Drosophila melanogaster: one gene and its partner. The gene in region 1 interacts genetically with each later gene. Each region holds a gene or a part of one and is shown on either strand. Other genes may lie near its edges. The genes, in order: Fancm and mus312.

Region 1 (7,785 bases):
TCTTGTTAGGCCATGTGATAGTCGTCATCTCAATGGATATTTAAAAAAGGCCTTCTTAACATTTTTTTTGAGTGACTGTTTCAGCCGTAGTGAATACCCTTTGGATCACCCCAACCCCGACTAAAAGCACTTTGCATAAAAGGGTCTGGGCCCTTTCTAGCCTGGTTTCCCGTGGTGGCTGATTCCGCTTGGGCAACTTTGTATGGAGAGTGCTCGTTATGATGTAAACCGCAAATACTCGTAACTTGGCGACTTGGCGTCGTCGGAGATAAGTCGATGAGTCGAGAAGGGTATGGCAACCGCATCGCAACGCAGCACTCGCAGCACAGCGCATAAGTCATGACATTTATGTTGGCCATGTCGGGCAGGGCATCGCAATAACCTGTGACTCATCACATGTGCCCATAGGACACTCGAATCTACGCTCAGATATCTGGTCATTAGGCTCATTAAAGCGGCAGCCAATTAATAAACAAAAATAAATAATTGCACAATTCATTTGGTAATTAGACATGGCTCATAAAGCCGAATTAGGCAAAAGGCGTAGTGCCCATGGCCCACAGATACATACAGATATCCCACAGATAGCACGCACACCGAGATATGTACATTCATATATTCATGTATATTGTCTATATGAGGAGGGAGCCCCGAAGAGAGGGAGAACTTCATGCAAATGAAATGAAATTGACTAGAGAGCCAGCAAATTGAGTGTGTCCCGTGTACCCGTGTGCCCGGGTATTTCTGTCCCAGCTCACGGTGGCTGCCGAATGGGGTGCCCCTCCCCCAGCCCCAGCCCCCCACTACGAGCAAACACACGAACTTACATACATAAGTGAACAATTCATTTGTCACACTAAATTTGTTTCAATTCATTTGCTCGGAATGACAAATAATGCGATATAATTACATTTTGTGAGCGTTCTCCGGTGCCCGTGCTTTTCCGCGGGAGTGGGCCATGACATCCAGCTCTCGGACTCAGATTCCCCCACACACGGTCAATGCTCATTAGGTGAAGATTTTGAAATGAGATTGTGACTATTTACGTATGTTTTTCCGTCAAACTTGGCCAAGTGTATGTATGTGCTTGCTAATTATCATTTTCCCTCATCAGCAGCAGGGGCAAGGATTTGTGGAATAACTTCAGAAATTAAGGTTGAGTTTAGTCAGCATGGGAAGTATATTATTTCAATTATATTATTCGGCTTATACATTAAAAATTAAAAATTCAGTTCCATTCCATTAATTAATCAATTCATTAAAAGGTATTTGTTAAATATCCTAATGCTGCTACCAGTTTAATTGTATCTACCCGTACTGCTTTTCTTTTGATACCAAGCCTTTTCGTTGGGGAAATAAAAGCAAATAAGAACGTTCGTTGGAAGCGCCTAATTTAAGACAATCAGAACATCTACGACAGAAATATCGCGAAAAGTACTCGGGCAATCTGTAAGTACGCAGTGTGTATTCGCCCAATTACGAACTGGCGACATTAAATGGGGCTTGACATTTCCGGGCAGATTGTGGGGTCTGCGTTTTCGTAAGGATTTCGGCATTTTAGCAATACTTTTCACCGATATGATACTGATTAAGGGAAATCATACAAGAGCTCTTTTAATTAATGTAAACTATTGCCATTTGATCACTCATTTATCTTTATTCTCTAAAATCAACTTAGTCACTGTTTAAAATTGGCGCGCTTTTATTTGAATTTAAGTGTTTGGCAAACATATACACAGTGGCGCCATCTGGAGCAGTGCTGCCACTCTCGTATTTGGCACCATTTTAGAGCACTGTTTAATGGCTTAGCAAATCCGCGCTATAAGAAGCCGCTTCAAGCTTGCTTAGACAGTTAACAATTTTTGAGAATTGTATTTATTTTTACTTATTACCCTATATTTAGAGGGTTTTACAGACTAAAATTAGTTTTCATGTCACGATTTGTGTGATCGATATACTCCAACAGCGCCACCTAAAATGATTAGCTCATCCCTAACGGAATGTTATGTTATAAACACAATGTAAAGCAATGTAAACACTTTCAAAACAAAATGTAGATCGTCGTGCAGTAGTTGTTATCAAAAGATTGCTGCTATCATGGATGTGAATTGGATGGACGATGACGAAGACCTAGTGGCGGCCTTGGCTATGCACGAAGAGCAGAAGAGCGAGGTATTTACTTGTATTTACTCCTGCGAGCGCAGAGTCTCTCACAGTTTGGATCCTCAGGATGCCGATGGAACACGTTGGGAACATTGCGACGAAGCCTGCGATGGTTTCGATATGGCCACAGGACACAACTGGATTTATCCAAACAACCTGCCCCTACGATCCTATCAACAAACCATCGTCCAATCGGCGCTGTTCAAAAACACCCTGGTGGTGTTGCCCACGGGATTGGGAAAGACCTTCATTGCGGCGGTGGTTATGTACAACTTTTACAGGTGGTATCCAAAGGGAAAGATTGTGTTCATGGCACCCACAAGGCCCCTGGTCTCGCAGCAGATCCACGCATCCCAGAAGATCATGCCCTTTCCATCTGAAGACACGGTGCAGCTAACAGGTGAGTTCAAATGTGAAGACTTATTTACAAATGCTTACCGGGTTATATGACTAAAAGAACCTGGATGTGCCGACTGCCTTACAAGTCCTGAATCCAAAAAATAAGCTCCAGTCCCATTTTTATTCCAGGCCAACTTCCTCGACCCAAACGAGCTGAGCTGTGGGCCTCCAAGCGGGTCTTCTTCGCTACGCCGCAGGTGGTGCACTCAGACATGCTGGAAGCTGATGGCGAATGCAGCTTTCCCTTTGGGTCCATCAAGTTGATAGTGGTGGATGAGGCGCACCGGGCCAAAGGTCGCTATGCCTACACCCAAGTGGCCGACTGTCTGATGGCACGTAACAGGTATTTCCGGATGCTTGCCCTGTCCGCTACACCAGGAAGAACCATGGAGGATGTGGCAGCTGTGTGCCGAAACCTATACATTTCCAATCTGCAAGTGCGCTGGGACACCTCGATCGACGTGCAGCCCTACATACACAGGCGGACGATTCGAACCATAGTGGTCTCCCTGAAGGAGAGAATCAAGGAGCCGAGAGAACGATTGCTGCAGATCATCGAACCATACCTACGCCAGCTTATGGAAGCTGAGATTTTTAAAGGCAACAAGGGAACCGTGAGCAGAAATAGTTTGCTCTTTGAGCAGAAAAGCTTCGTCGAACGATCGGCGCAAGGCCAGCGGCATCCGGATCACAACATAATAATGGGCAACTTCGCCATGTGCATCAGCATGTACCACTCGCTGGACCTAATGGAGCGTCACGGTCTTCGCGTCTTCGTGAACAATTTCGATGCAGACGACGACGGGCGAGAGAAATTTGTACTGGCCAGAGATGGTAATCTAAGGAATTTGGTGGAGCAGGTCCGCCAAGAACTCGGTGCCAATCCCCTAGATTACACCACGCATGCCATGACGAATGGAGAAGTGCCGCCTTTGCCATCTGATCTAGACTTTGGACATGCCAAATATGAGAAGTTGCGACAGGTGTTGGTGCAACACTTTCAGGTAGGGGCAAAAAATCAAAAAAAAAGAAGTTTTCATATAATTTTCATGAAACCGATAAACATATTCCCTTGTTAATATAAATGTTTTCTTTAATAGGCAAACCCCGATTCCCGCGCCATTGTTTTCTGCGAGTACCGTGAATCCGTAATGCTGATTCACCGGCTACTCCTTCAACACAGACCGGTGCTCCGTCCGCGCTGTTTTGTTGGCCAGGGCAGCACAGTTGGAGCAAGCTATGCTCTCACCCAGAAACAGCAGCTGCAGATAATGACCGACTTTCGATCCGGCACTAGCAACGTTCTGGTGGCCACGTCGATCGGAGAGGAGGGCTTAGACGTCGGCGAGGTGGAGATGATTGTGTGCTTCGACATTTGCAGCACTAATCCCACTAGATTTATTCAGCGGATTGGGCGCACTGGAAGGAAGAAGAATGGAGAGGTGGTTATGCTAGTGACCGAAGGACGAGAACAGCAGGTGCTTAAGGATGTTCTGGCCAACAAGGATCAAATCAACAAGAAGCTATTGAATTCGTCCGTTGTTAAATTGTCGCTTTATGAGCAAAATCCTCGAATGGTGCCATCAAAATTTCAACCAAAATGCGAGGAGAAACACATGGAGCCAGTTGCTGAGGAGAAACCCAAGCCGAAGTCGGCAGCCAAGACGAAAGAATCCAGGAAGCGGAAGCAACCAGTTGCACAGACTGGTAGCCTAAGGAAATACTTCAAAGAAAGTCCTCCAACGGAGAGTCAGCAAGGAATATTGCAGGGAATAAAACCCTACCAAATGAGCGAAGCTTCACAGCAATTGGTTAAGCAGCAAGTTCTACGGCGCAGCGTAACTCTGAAGAACTTCTTTGGGGAATCTCAGGCCAGCTCAACGTTAACCAGCAGTCAGGAAGATGTGCAACGCCTCCGAAAACTTACTCGCCTTCTGCAGTCAAGCAAGCCATTTGTTTCGGACTCCAAGGATCTTATGAGCCATCTGCAGGACGATCACTTACCCAGGCAAATAAAGCTCTACTTACTCAAAAGTAATCCCGAATTTCTGAGGGAAACCCATTTGAAGATGCAAGTCCAGAGCGAGTTGAATATAGCTGATGATCGCTTAAATAGTCGGCAGCGACGCACTAAAAATAATTATCAACTGCTTCTGGACATTTGCGACGGAATGGACCAGATGAATGAGCTTCTTCAAGGGGATAATAGTGGAGCAGAGATTAGCTTCAGGGATGAACTAAATCCTATTTATAATCAAAGTCCCAAAAAGTTCGATACCATTTGTGAACAGATTTTCGATGGTCTGAATGAGCATGGCCTAAACTCGAACAATTTTGAACTGAAGCAAGATCTTTTAGAGAAACTTGAGCTTCGCAATCTGGAAACCACAGTAAACGAGCAACTGGGTGGCATTGAAGCTTCCTGGTCAGAAGAGGAGTGGGACCAACAGGAGGAAGACGTGAAATTTGAGTCTATGTACCTAAGCCAGCAATTGAACTTACCAGACGCGAATGTTGTCCCCCATAGCTCAACGCCGCTCAGGGTCAAACCCTTGAGCAAATTAATGTTTAAAACCCTGCAGGGCGATATTGAAGAGGAGTATCATTCCGGGATGGAAGCTAGTGAATTGGGGGACAACTTAGGTCGCCTAAATTCACTGATGAACGCAAGTGAATCGAAGATTAAAGCGACTGAAAGAATTGCACCTATTCCTGTAGTAGACTCTACAATTGAGACAAATCACTTTCCAGCCGTGGAAGAAAGTCAAAGATCAACTCCTATTTCCATTGCAGATTCTTCAGGTGAATCAAATCACTGTGCTGTTAATAAAAATAGTGAGATATATCCAATGAGCATAGATGAGACGAAAGTAGAAGTTAAGTCCTCTTTAAATCTGAAAATGCACGCAGAATCCATTGTAGAAGATTTGGATATCGACTTGGATGATTTTCTAGAGCCAATGGACAAGGAACTGGAATTAGCCTCCCAGACAAAAGGGAAGTCGCAAGAGAACATCGTAGATCACCAGATGGAAAAATTGGAGAAAAACTGCGAGCAGAAAGAAACAGCACACAACAATGACCTTGATCTAACGGACGAGGACTTGAAAGAATTTCTAGAGCCGATGGTGGAGGAAGTGGAGTTGATGAGCCAAAAAAAGGCGAATGACTTCAAGGATTTTCTCGAGCCAATGCCAGAGGAGTTAGAGCTAATGAGCCAGCAGAAGAAAAACATACTGCTTCCAAGTACAGAAACAATTAAAAACTCAGAAAATAAAAACTCACATGAGGATGGCTCAAGAACCGTTTCGCCAGATATCTTTGGATCTGACTCCATGTCACCTTTGAAGCCCCAAGGAAAAAGTCTGGCCGCAAAATTGGCAGCCAAGGCAGCAGCAAAGGTTTTGCCTTGCCCACCGCCGAATTCAGTAGGTCTTAATTCGCCGGAGAACCGGAAACGTACCAATCCTTCTATCCAGGAAAAGTCTCCAAGTATCTTTGATCTATATTTAAATCGAATGCGGGGTCGTGGTCGTCTTGCTAAAGCTGCGGAGAATCTTCACCGTATAACTTCAACGAATCCTACAATCTCAGTACCTAAAGACGAAGAGGATTCTCCTATTGCGCGGCGTCCATCCAAACGAAAGATTGTTATAAGTTCCGATGAGGAAGAGGAGCAGAAGCCACAGATTGCGGAAACCCAAGTGGATTGCGAGTCCGATGATTACGAGAGAATTCTTGACACGCAAATGGTATATATCCCTAAGTTTAGAATTTGATCAATACATCTAATATATGACATATATAACTTTCAGCCTGATCCTCGTAAGACTCCAACGAGACCTCGACACAAACGCAGTAAATTCAATTCCTTTATTTTGGATGAGGCTGAAAAAAGCGGATCGGACCATGAGGAGGAAGGGGAGACTACCATAGGCACATATCTGAAGGACTCCATGATCGTTTCAAGCGATGATGAGGACCATAACGACACAAACACTCATGCTATTTACCTTCGTGCACTCAAGTAAGTCGAGGGTGAATTATAAATGCGTCTAACTAAACAATATCTCGTTGCTAGGAGCCCCATTCAAAGGCCAGGTGCCTTCAAGATGCCCCCTCCACGAGTTTTTCGCGACGAATCGCACATATTTTCTCAGCCAGTGGAAGACGATTCCTCGCAGTACATGCAATGCTCATTTATCGTTGATGACGAAAGCTCCACGATTGAAAGAGGGCATGATGTCTCCGAATGTCCTCTTGAGAAAGCGGAACGTATTCTAAAGGAGCGAAGAAAGCAACGTCGACTAGGTAAGGTGCCTTCCGCTCCGGTTAATAAACGACGCCGATTACAAACCATAAGCACCTCTAGCGATGAAGATGATGTTGTTTTAATTGATTAAACGCTACGTCACTTCCCAGTGCCATTGCATTAAATAGTTTGTGATTTGTTAAAATGTTTCCGATTTTATTTCGTTTAATAATCTTGTAGATTTATGTGAATACGTGATACAGATCTTTATAAGTCCAATTGATTGTTAATATTTTTAACTCAAGCGAATACAATAATTTAACTAGGTTACATTGTTTTAGATACAAATAATAAAATTAACGAAATATCTAAAATTTTATATGTTGCGTTTCTCTATTTGTTATCCTTCCTAACGCATTTATACATTCAATCATGGAGTAATTATGGAGCTCCCAAGTTCTTGCGAGTATCGGTCTTCTATAGTGAACCTGCTTAAATAAATACTGGTAACTATTAGCTGCATGAATCAAGAATCTATTTAAATCTCCTGTTCAATAACTTAAATTCTCGGTGGTTTTTAAGATGCGTACCCAATGTTAATGACCAATGTCAATCGATTTTTCTGCACGAGTTTTGCATATTGAGGTATATCCAAAAAAAATTTTCCAAAACACTTTTTAGAACATAAAATTCTGGTATCGCTGATTTCGTACAGTTTTATCTGGCAGCCCTATAAATTACTCGTTGTCTGGTGCTGCCAGACTATGAATATATTACAATACGAATGGCTCCCTAGATGGTGTTATACATACTTGGGTCTTTTGTCATGAAAAATACATCACCACCTTACGGGTAAAGTGGGAACGCACAGGCCGCCAGATGGCGCGCATATGAGATTGCTGTTTGAACTTATTGAAGTTATAAGATACATTGAAGTTATAAGTTATATTGTATAAGTTATAAGTTAAAGT
Region 2 (7,114 bases), on another chromosome or scaffold:
GCCGTTCGCCTTTGTATCCCCCCCTTTCTATTCAAAGTTCTGATAATTCTCGGCGCTGACGAACTGTGCCCGTTGCTGGGGTGTCATGTTGAGATTACCGCGGTTCTTGTTGTTGTAGGCCCAGATGACGCCGGTGGAGATCAGGGCAATGGTCAGCCAGCCCATGAAGAACAACTGCAGCCACATGTGCTCGCCGCCGCTGTGATCCACGATAATTCCAGCCACGATAGTGATGACCGCCAAGCCAAGATTCTGTATCGATTGGCAGAAGCCGTAGGCCGTGCCCAATTGGTATTCCGGAATGATGAGAGCCACCAGAGGCCACAGGCTTGCGGCCAGCATGGAATACGACAGTCCCATGATGATCATGCCCACATAGGGTGTCAGCTGGGTGAACGTAAGCAGGGCATGGGCTCCAATGGTGGTCAGTGTCGCTGTGAACACCCAGGTCACATTCCTACCCAGTTTGTCGATGATGAAACCAAAGACCGGAGACGATACGGCTGCAATTAGATACACCAGCGAGTCCACGGTGTTGGCCTCAGCAGGCGAAAGCCCGAAGCGATCAACAAAGAAATTCTGTCCGAGGGCAATGAATGGGAAGATGGCCACATAGTAGGCGACGCAAATGATGGATACCATCCAAAAGGGTGGTTTGAACGAAAAGACATCGGTGAGTTTCGGTATCTGTCCAGCCGGGTTGTTGTTACGCTGCAAAATCCGCTCGGCCCTCTTGTCCATCCAGCCGAGGATGAGGGCACAGGTCATCGACATCACACAGGTGAGGGTAGCCAGCAATAAGACGACGCCTAGAGCGGTATGTCCCTTGTAAAAATTGCTCACATACTCATAGATGGGCTGCATCACCCAGAAGTTGACGGTGCTGCCGAATCGGGCAACCGACAGCTGCAGGCCGAATACCATGTTCAGTTCCTTGCCCTTAAACCAGAGCACCGCATAGCTGTTCTGGGCCACCGCCAGTGATTCGGCGCCAATGCCGAAGATAAACCGTCCCAGGATCATCATCCAGAAGGCGTCCAGAATGCCGCCGCAGGCAAAGATCAACTGACCCACCAGCAGGATCATCATGTAGATAATCGTGCCCAGTCGAATGCCAAACAGTCGATCGATCAGGAAACCTCCCACGAAGCACAGGACGACATTGGGCCACGAGTAAATCGAGTAGATGAGTGTGAACTGGGCGGAGGTCAGATTAAGATCTTTCTTGAAATAGTTCTGCAGGGCGCCGGGTGCATCGTAACAGAAATAGGAGCCGAATCCCAGCAGGCACATGAACACCAGAGCCATGAACCGGTGGCTCGTGCTCGAGGGCATGCAGCAGCCGCCGGACGGAAGGCTCAGTTCATTGTCACGCCGACCGGCCCGACTGACCACTTGGTCCTCCTCCGTCGGTCGCGACACCTCCTCATTGTCCACGATGCGTTCCTCGTCCTCGCGCGCCATCTCCACTCACCGCTGGCACAATCCGCACTGACCAGTTGGATGTGGAGCCGAATCCCGCAGAATGGGCGTATGCAAAACTATGTGATATGATTAATCGGCTTTCTGATTTCCTGCCGCAGTTGTTTTTTCTTTTGCTTTCGTTTTTCTCTTTTCGTATTTGCCGTTTCTGCAAAATATTTGTATCAATTTCTGCGAACGAGTGAGCGAGTTGAACTCTTCTGCTTTGTCTTGGCTTATCTCGCTGCTTTTGTTTTTGTTTACTGTACTAGTACCCTTTGTCTAACAACTATTGTTGTTGTTGGCTGTGTGGGCTAGTTAGTTGTCTCTGGGTTCACTGGTTATCAGCAGTTTTTCCACTCCACTTGCAGCTGAAGTTCGCAGTGCGGTGTTGGGCAACAAATGTTCGGTGACGTGTGCAACCGCACTTTATTGCTGATCGAATAAAACTAAATTCTTTCCTCTGCCTAATTAACGTTAATTACGCATATACAATGGCGGGGCTGCCAACTCGCTGTAGAGCAGGGTTGTCGACGCAGCTACAGGTGCATTCGAACAGCTGGCAGGCGATAACGATCACAAATATGAACGGTATTCCTGTTTTGCTCTCCATTATAATCGAAAGTTTACTCTAATTGAAATGCAAATTTTAGTAAGCCATGATTATTTATATAATAGAATTATATAAATAAAAATAAAAACGCTTGATTATATTAATAAAACAAGATAATCATTAATTGAGAAACTATTTAAGTACAAGAGCTCAACGACGCAGAAATCTCTTGCATCTTGTTTTGATTTAATTTAGTATAGCCTGACAACCCTAATCCAGCAACGCCGAGTTGAAGCATGTTTTCATACTTTTTACCGGGTAAAATGTATTTAATTATATAATTCAGCGGCCCTTGCAGCAATGGATCCCATCGACACCACCAAGCGAAAGCCCAGACGCACCTACGGCACGCCATCCTACACGTATCGCAATCGATTTGCCTATGCCCTCTTGGCCGCCGGAACTGTGCTCTTCGGCATTTGGAGGTGAGCAGATCTTCGAACTTAACGTATAAATGTGGTTTTAATGCTTGCCACCGCCTCGTTTTCAGCCTGACTCCCATCCAGCGCATTGCCAACGAGAAGCTGTCCCAGGCGGTGGCCCAAACCGAACAGGAGCGCGATAGGAAAGGACTCTTTGAGTTCGGCGCACCAAGGACTTCGCAGTTCATCAGGGACGCCATCAAGGAGAGCGAGGAGCAGAGGAACAAATAATGGATCGCAAGACGCGGCGAGCCAACTTCAAAAACCTGCAGCCTCGGTAATTTTAATTGAAATAAAGGCCAATAAAATGAATGTCATTATCTAACCGAACACTTTGTTTTCCTTTCATCCGAAGTTTGACGCGAAGCACCAAAGCAGCCGCAGATACATTATCGTTATCCAACTTCTTTGCCACACCCGAAAATGCTGAAGAAGTTCCGTCATGTCTCGCCGACATTCCTGTTCAGCCCGATCCTCCTGCGCCAAAAATCAAACCAATACGCACCAGCAATGTGTTCGAAAAACCTGGGCCCAAGCCCAAAAAGGCACCCAAGCTCAAGGCCAGCACTGTGTCAACGTCGAGTGGGGCGCGTCGTGGACGCGGAAAGAGCAAACAACAGCCCAGTATCAGCAACTTTCTACGCAACGAGCAGATCTTCGCGGAGGTTACCGCCCAGCATTGCATGGCGGACAACTTTAGTGCGGATGACATTGAAATGGCGCTGGCGCTGTCCAAATCGGAGAGTGAGAAGCATGGACGCCTTCGTCTGCATGACGATGACGATGCGGTGGTTGACCTACTGGATGATGAAGAGAAGTCCACTGAGAGAATACGTCATAAACTGCAGAAGTATGGCTTCCGCACAGCCGCCAAGGAAGGTAAGTCATCTTATAAAGTGTAAACGGTAAGATTGGACTTACGTTTTATCCCCATTTAGATTATAAATCTCTGGCGGTCCTGCCCGTGGTGGCCAGCAAAGGAGGTAGACGTGGCAAGTGGGCCAATAGGTTTACTTCCCTAACTTTAAGAAATCCGGATGTGCAACAGAAGAAGCTCGAGGAGAAAGTGTCTGCATTGCTTGGCCAAGAAATGCGCGGCAAGGAGCCCAACGGGGAAGACTGTTGTCTGACACCATACACTGTGATCACCGCAGCATTGAAGGAACTCAGAGCTGAGGGTGAATCTCGCATCCTTCGGGAACCAAGCGAAGGGCCCATAGATGACCTAGAATCATACTACGTAACCGACTTGTTTGAAGTTAGTCGCACGCCGGCACACCATCTTTTGAAGAATTGGGCAGCGATACAGGGAAGGGATTTTTCGCCAGAGCGTGAGACCCAAAAATGCCGCCAATTAAGGCAACAACATGAGCTTGTCTACGCTGAGTTGGAAAGGTACTACGGTGATCCACAGAAGTTAGAAGAGGAGGTGATGCAGGAACTGGATGAATTGGAAAAACTGGTGGCAGATAACATGATCGAAGATGATTCTGTAGTGATAAATATTGTGGAGGCAGAATCATCGTCGACTGGTAGCAGTCCATCAAAGGAGCCGCCGGATAAGCGTCCAAAAATGACAATGGAAGATAAGGAAAACCTGCAGCCAACAACATCAAAAGCCAGCTTGACTGTTCCCGCCCAGTCAACCCGCTGCACCTCGCCGGATCTCTTTGCGGACTCCGAAGATGAGCCGGATATAGTAACGACTGCTATATCCAATGAACCCGAAGACGTTAGGAATCTTTCAATGAAAGTTTACAAGAATGTCAGCATTAGCGAACGATCATCTTCGGTCGCTGAAATAGAAATTGTGTCCAGCAATGATGAACCTTCTCAGATAACCACGTATGAAGTGTTTTCCAGCGACGAAGGTGAGAATCTCCATTCATATAGACAGCACACCCCTTAAGAGTATTTCAATTTGCTTTCAGTAAAGACTGTTTCCAACGCTACGCAGGAGAAGATTTCTTTTGATGGTGAGTAAACACAGAAAAGTTCGATACCAAAATCTCATTCATATTTTAATTTCCAGACAAACCCATAGATGACTTTATAGACCTAACACAAGAGTTCGATATGGTAGAATTTAATGAATCAAAGCCTAGAACCCCAAACTTAATTGCATCATCGGAAACAGATTCCAATGTAGACAACCTAAATGGTGATACAATTCTAGATTTTAGTTCCCAGGAGGTAAGTTGTCCCATCTCCAAGGAATTGTACGCAAAGTATGCCAAGGTGGAAACATTCCCTGTGTGGAATGCAGCAGCAGAAGAGGAGGATAAAATTGAGTTTTCCTTAAGCATGGAAAGAGATTTGAAGAGTTCCGAGCAATCGTCGCATCAGCTCGGCATATTAACCACTCCAAATGACACCGAACACAGTTCAAGCTTCAGTGAATTGAATTTCTCGAGGAACTCGCTTCGGAGGAGCGTTAGTCTATCAACGGATCTCAGTTTCAAAAGTCCGCTTAACTGGAAAATGAACTCATCAGCCGAGAAGAGGGTCTCGCCGGCTGCTTCTCCTTACAAACAGTCGGATGCTAGTGTGGACTTAACCCAGAACAGCGATGACGAAAACGACGCAATTCTGCTCTCCGACGAGGAAATCAATTACTCCATTTGGAAGGGCAATAAGACCGTAAAAGATTTGGATATCGGGGACGATAGCTCAGACAGTTGCTTTGCATCTCCGGTGACGAAAAAGCGAGCTATCCCACAGTTCCAAACTGAGGAGGATCTGGATGCCTTCTTGATGGACTTTTCCACGGATGGCAATGGATCGCAAGGTTCACATTCTCCCAACAAGAGTGCTCTTAGCAAGGAGCGTGCTGAATTCGGAATACTGGATGCTGCTCCGTCTCAACCCTTCAGTCTATCTGAACTTCAGAGTCACGCCGACAAAGAGAAGTCATCGGATAACGAAATCAACTGGGCAGAAGCTTCATTTTTGGATGCACCAGCAAAGCCATTGTCACGCAGGAGCAGCCACAAATTTAATGAGCTCTTGGCGAAAATAAGCAAACCAGCGCATAACTCTGGCGACGACTTTGACGAATTCGATCAGATGGTTTTCCAAAGCACCAAGGAAGCCGCCTCCAGTGCTGGCGAAACAAGTGACATGCCTCAGGGATTGGACCTTTTGTTGAAGGGAGAGATAAAAACGACAGCGATCCCGGAGACAAGAGCTCCAGGCAACCAAACTCCGATTGAACCGCAGCAAGTAGATGTTGACGGCAATGTCTACTCCGTGCGTGTTTGTCACACACCTAAGCCAGATTTCGCCACCCTCCCGGAATCGGAGATCCTCCAGCAGCTCTACAAGTACGGCATAAAGCCACTAAAACGCAAACAGGCAGTGAAAATGCTCGAATTCATCTACAATCAAACGCATCCCATAATGAAGACAGCTGCTGTTCAGGATTTACCAGCCAGATCTGAGCCAATTGTGCGTTCCAAGTCAACTCCTGTGATTATGGAGAGACCACATTCGCAAGTAGCAAAGTCAACCTCTAAAACATTGAAGGCAATTGGGACAAAAAAGGATTTAACATTTAACGATGCCACGGGCGAGGAATTGCTGCGCTTTTCCCAATCCCTTGCCCCGAGTCTTTGCGATGACTTCGAGACCTTTGTCATGCAAACGAACGTTACCAAGAAGACACCACAGCCGCTGGTGCCACTGCACATCGCCTGGCACAATCTCATCTGCGCCAATCCCCAACTGCACGAAAGTGTACTCACGTACGAACCCATTGATTTGCAGGCAGTTTACTTGCACCTGAAGCACATGGGGCATCGATACGATCCAAAGGACCTGAAGACCTTCTTCGACCGGCGTTGCATTATCTTTCGCTATGAACTGGGTGCTCCCGGCAAGCAAGCAGAGCGTCATGTGCGAAGGCACACAAAAAAGCCTTCTAAAAGGAAGTAGATTCTACAAGTTATGGAATTTCATTGTACTTATACCTAACTTTGAATGCATTGAATTATTTTCTAGTATTTACCTTATATTGTATTATTGAATAAGATATTGTTACTTGGTATTTTGCGATCTAAATTTATTGTATGTAAAATTGATAAAACTCAAATACATTCAACACTTTTGTTTGAAGCATTGTTAACCATTCCTATTTGCCATTTCAAGCTACCCACTAGCATCTACGATTAAAAAACACAATATTATTTTGGGGGCCGTAGATTTATTTGATGCAACTTCAAAATACAATATTACAAAACTAATGGACGAATACAAATGTATAGAGTTTGTAGTAGATACAAGACACTGATATTTTCATACGAGTAGAATATTGGACAACATTAAATGCAGCATCTGTAGACAGACTACCCTAAATGGGTATTAAATGTAAAAATACAATTCGATCTTACGGCGCTAGAAAAGACACTTGGACGGTATAAATTTCTTACGAGTCTCTACGTGAAAGGCACATTGTCAGATTGCGATTAATGGAATGGAATCGGCTCGAACAAAACTGGTTGCTAATGAAACTATTTGTACTGCATGCAAAACTGATATGGTTGGTGGGTGCAGACGGGTTAGTGGGCTCTTACAGTAGCTAGGATTAGTTTTGGGGGGAGAGAGATATATAAGAAGCAAT

The links.
Region 2: of Fancm (region 1) and mus312, changing one suppresses a phenotype caused by changing the other (phenotypic suppression), as found in Drosophila melanogaster (one study listed by BioGRID).

The regions. Positions count from the first base shown.
Region 1 is NT_033777.3:21,480,290-21,488,074, forward strand, and holds Fancm (fanconi anemia group M helicase), read left to right. Parts: upstream 1-2,035; 5' UTR 2,036-2,097; coding exon 2,098-2,172; intron 2,173-2,229; coding exon 2,230-2,563; intron 2,564-2,691; coding exon 2,692-3,566; intron 3,567-3,662; coding exon 3,663-6,314; intron 6,315-6,377; coding exon 6,378-6,589; intron 6,590-6,643; coding exon 6,644-6,965; 3' UTR 6,966-7,155; downstream 7,156-7,785. UniProt on the Drosophila melanogaster protein: A ssDNA-dependent ATPase with 3' to 5' helicase activity. Involved in multiple DNA-damage responses, some that require ATPase and helicase activity and some that are independent of these.
Region 2 is NT_037436.4:7,326,865-7,333,978, forward strand, and holds mus312 (mutagen-sensitive 312), read left to right. Parts: upstream 1-2,267; 5' UTR 2,268-2,374; coding exon of another isoform or gene 2,375-2,499; intron 2,500-2,564; coding exon of another isoform or gene 2,565-2,726; coding exon 2,727-2,773; exon of another isoform or gene 2,774-2,824; intron 2,825-2,851; coding exon 2,852-3,375; intron 3,376-3,434; coding exon 3,435-4,367; intron 4,368-4,427; coding exon 4,428-4,472; intron 4,473-4,528; coding exon 4,529-6,429; 3' UTR 6,430-6,607; downstream 6,608-7,114. Other genes in the region: mrva (minerva), read right to left, coding at 28-1,464; CG42307 (uncharacterized protein), read left to right, coding at 2,375-2,499, 2,565-2,727. UniProt on the Drosophila melanogaster protein: Regulatory subunit that interacts with and increases the activity of different structure-specific endonucleases.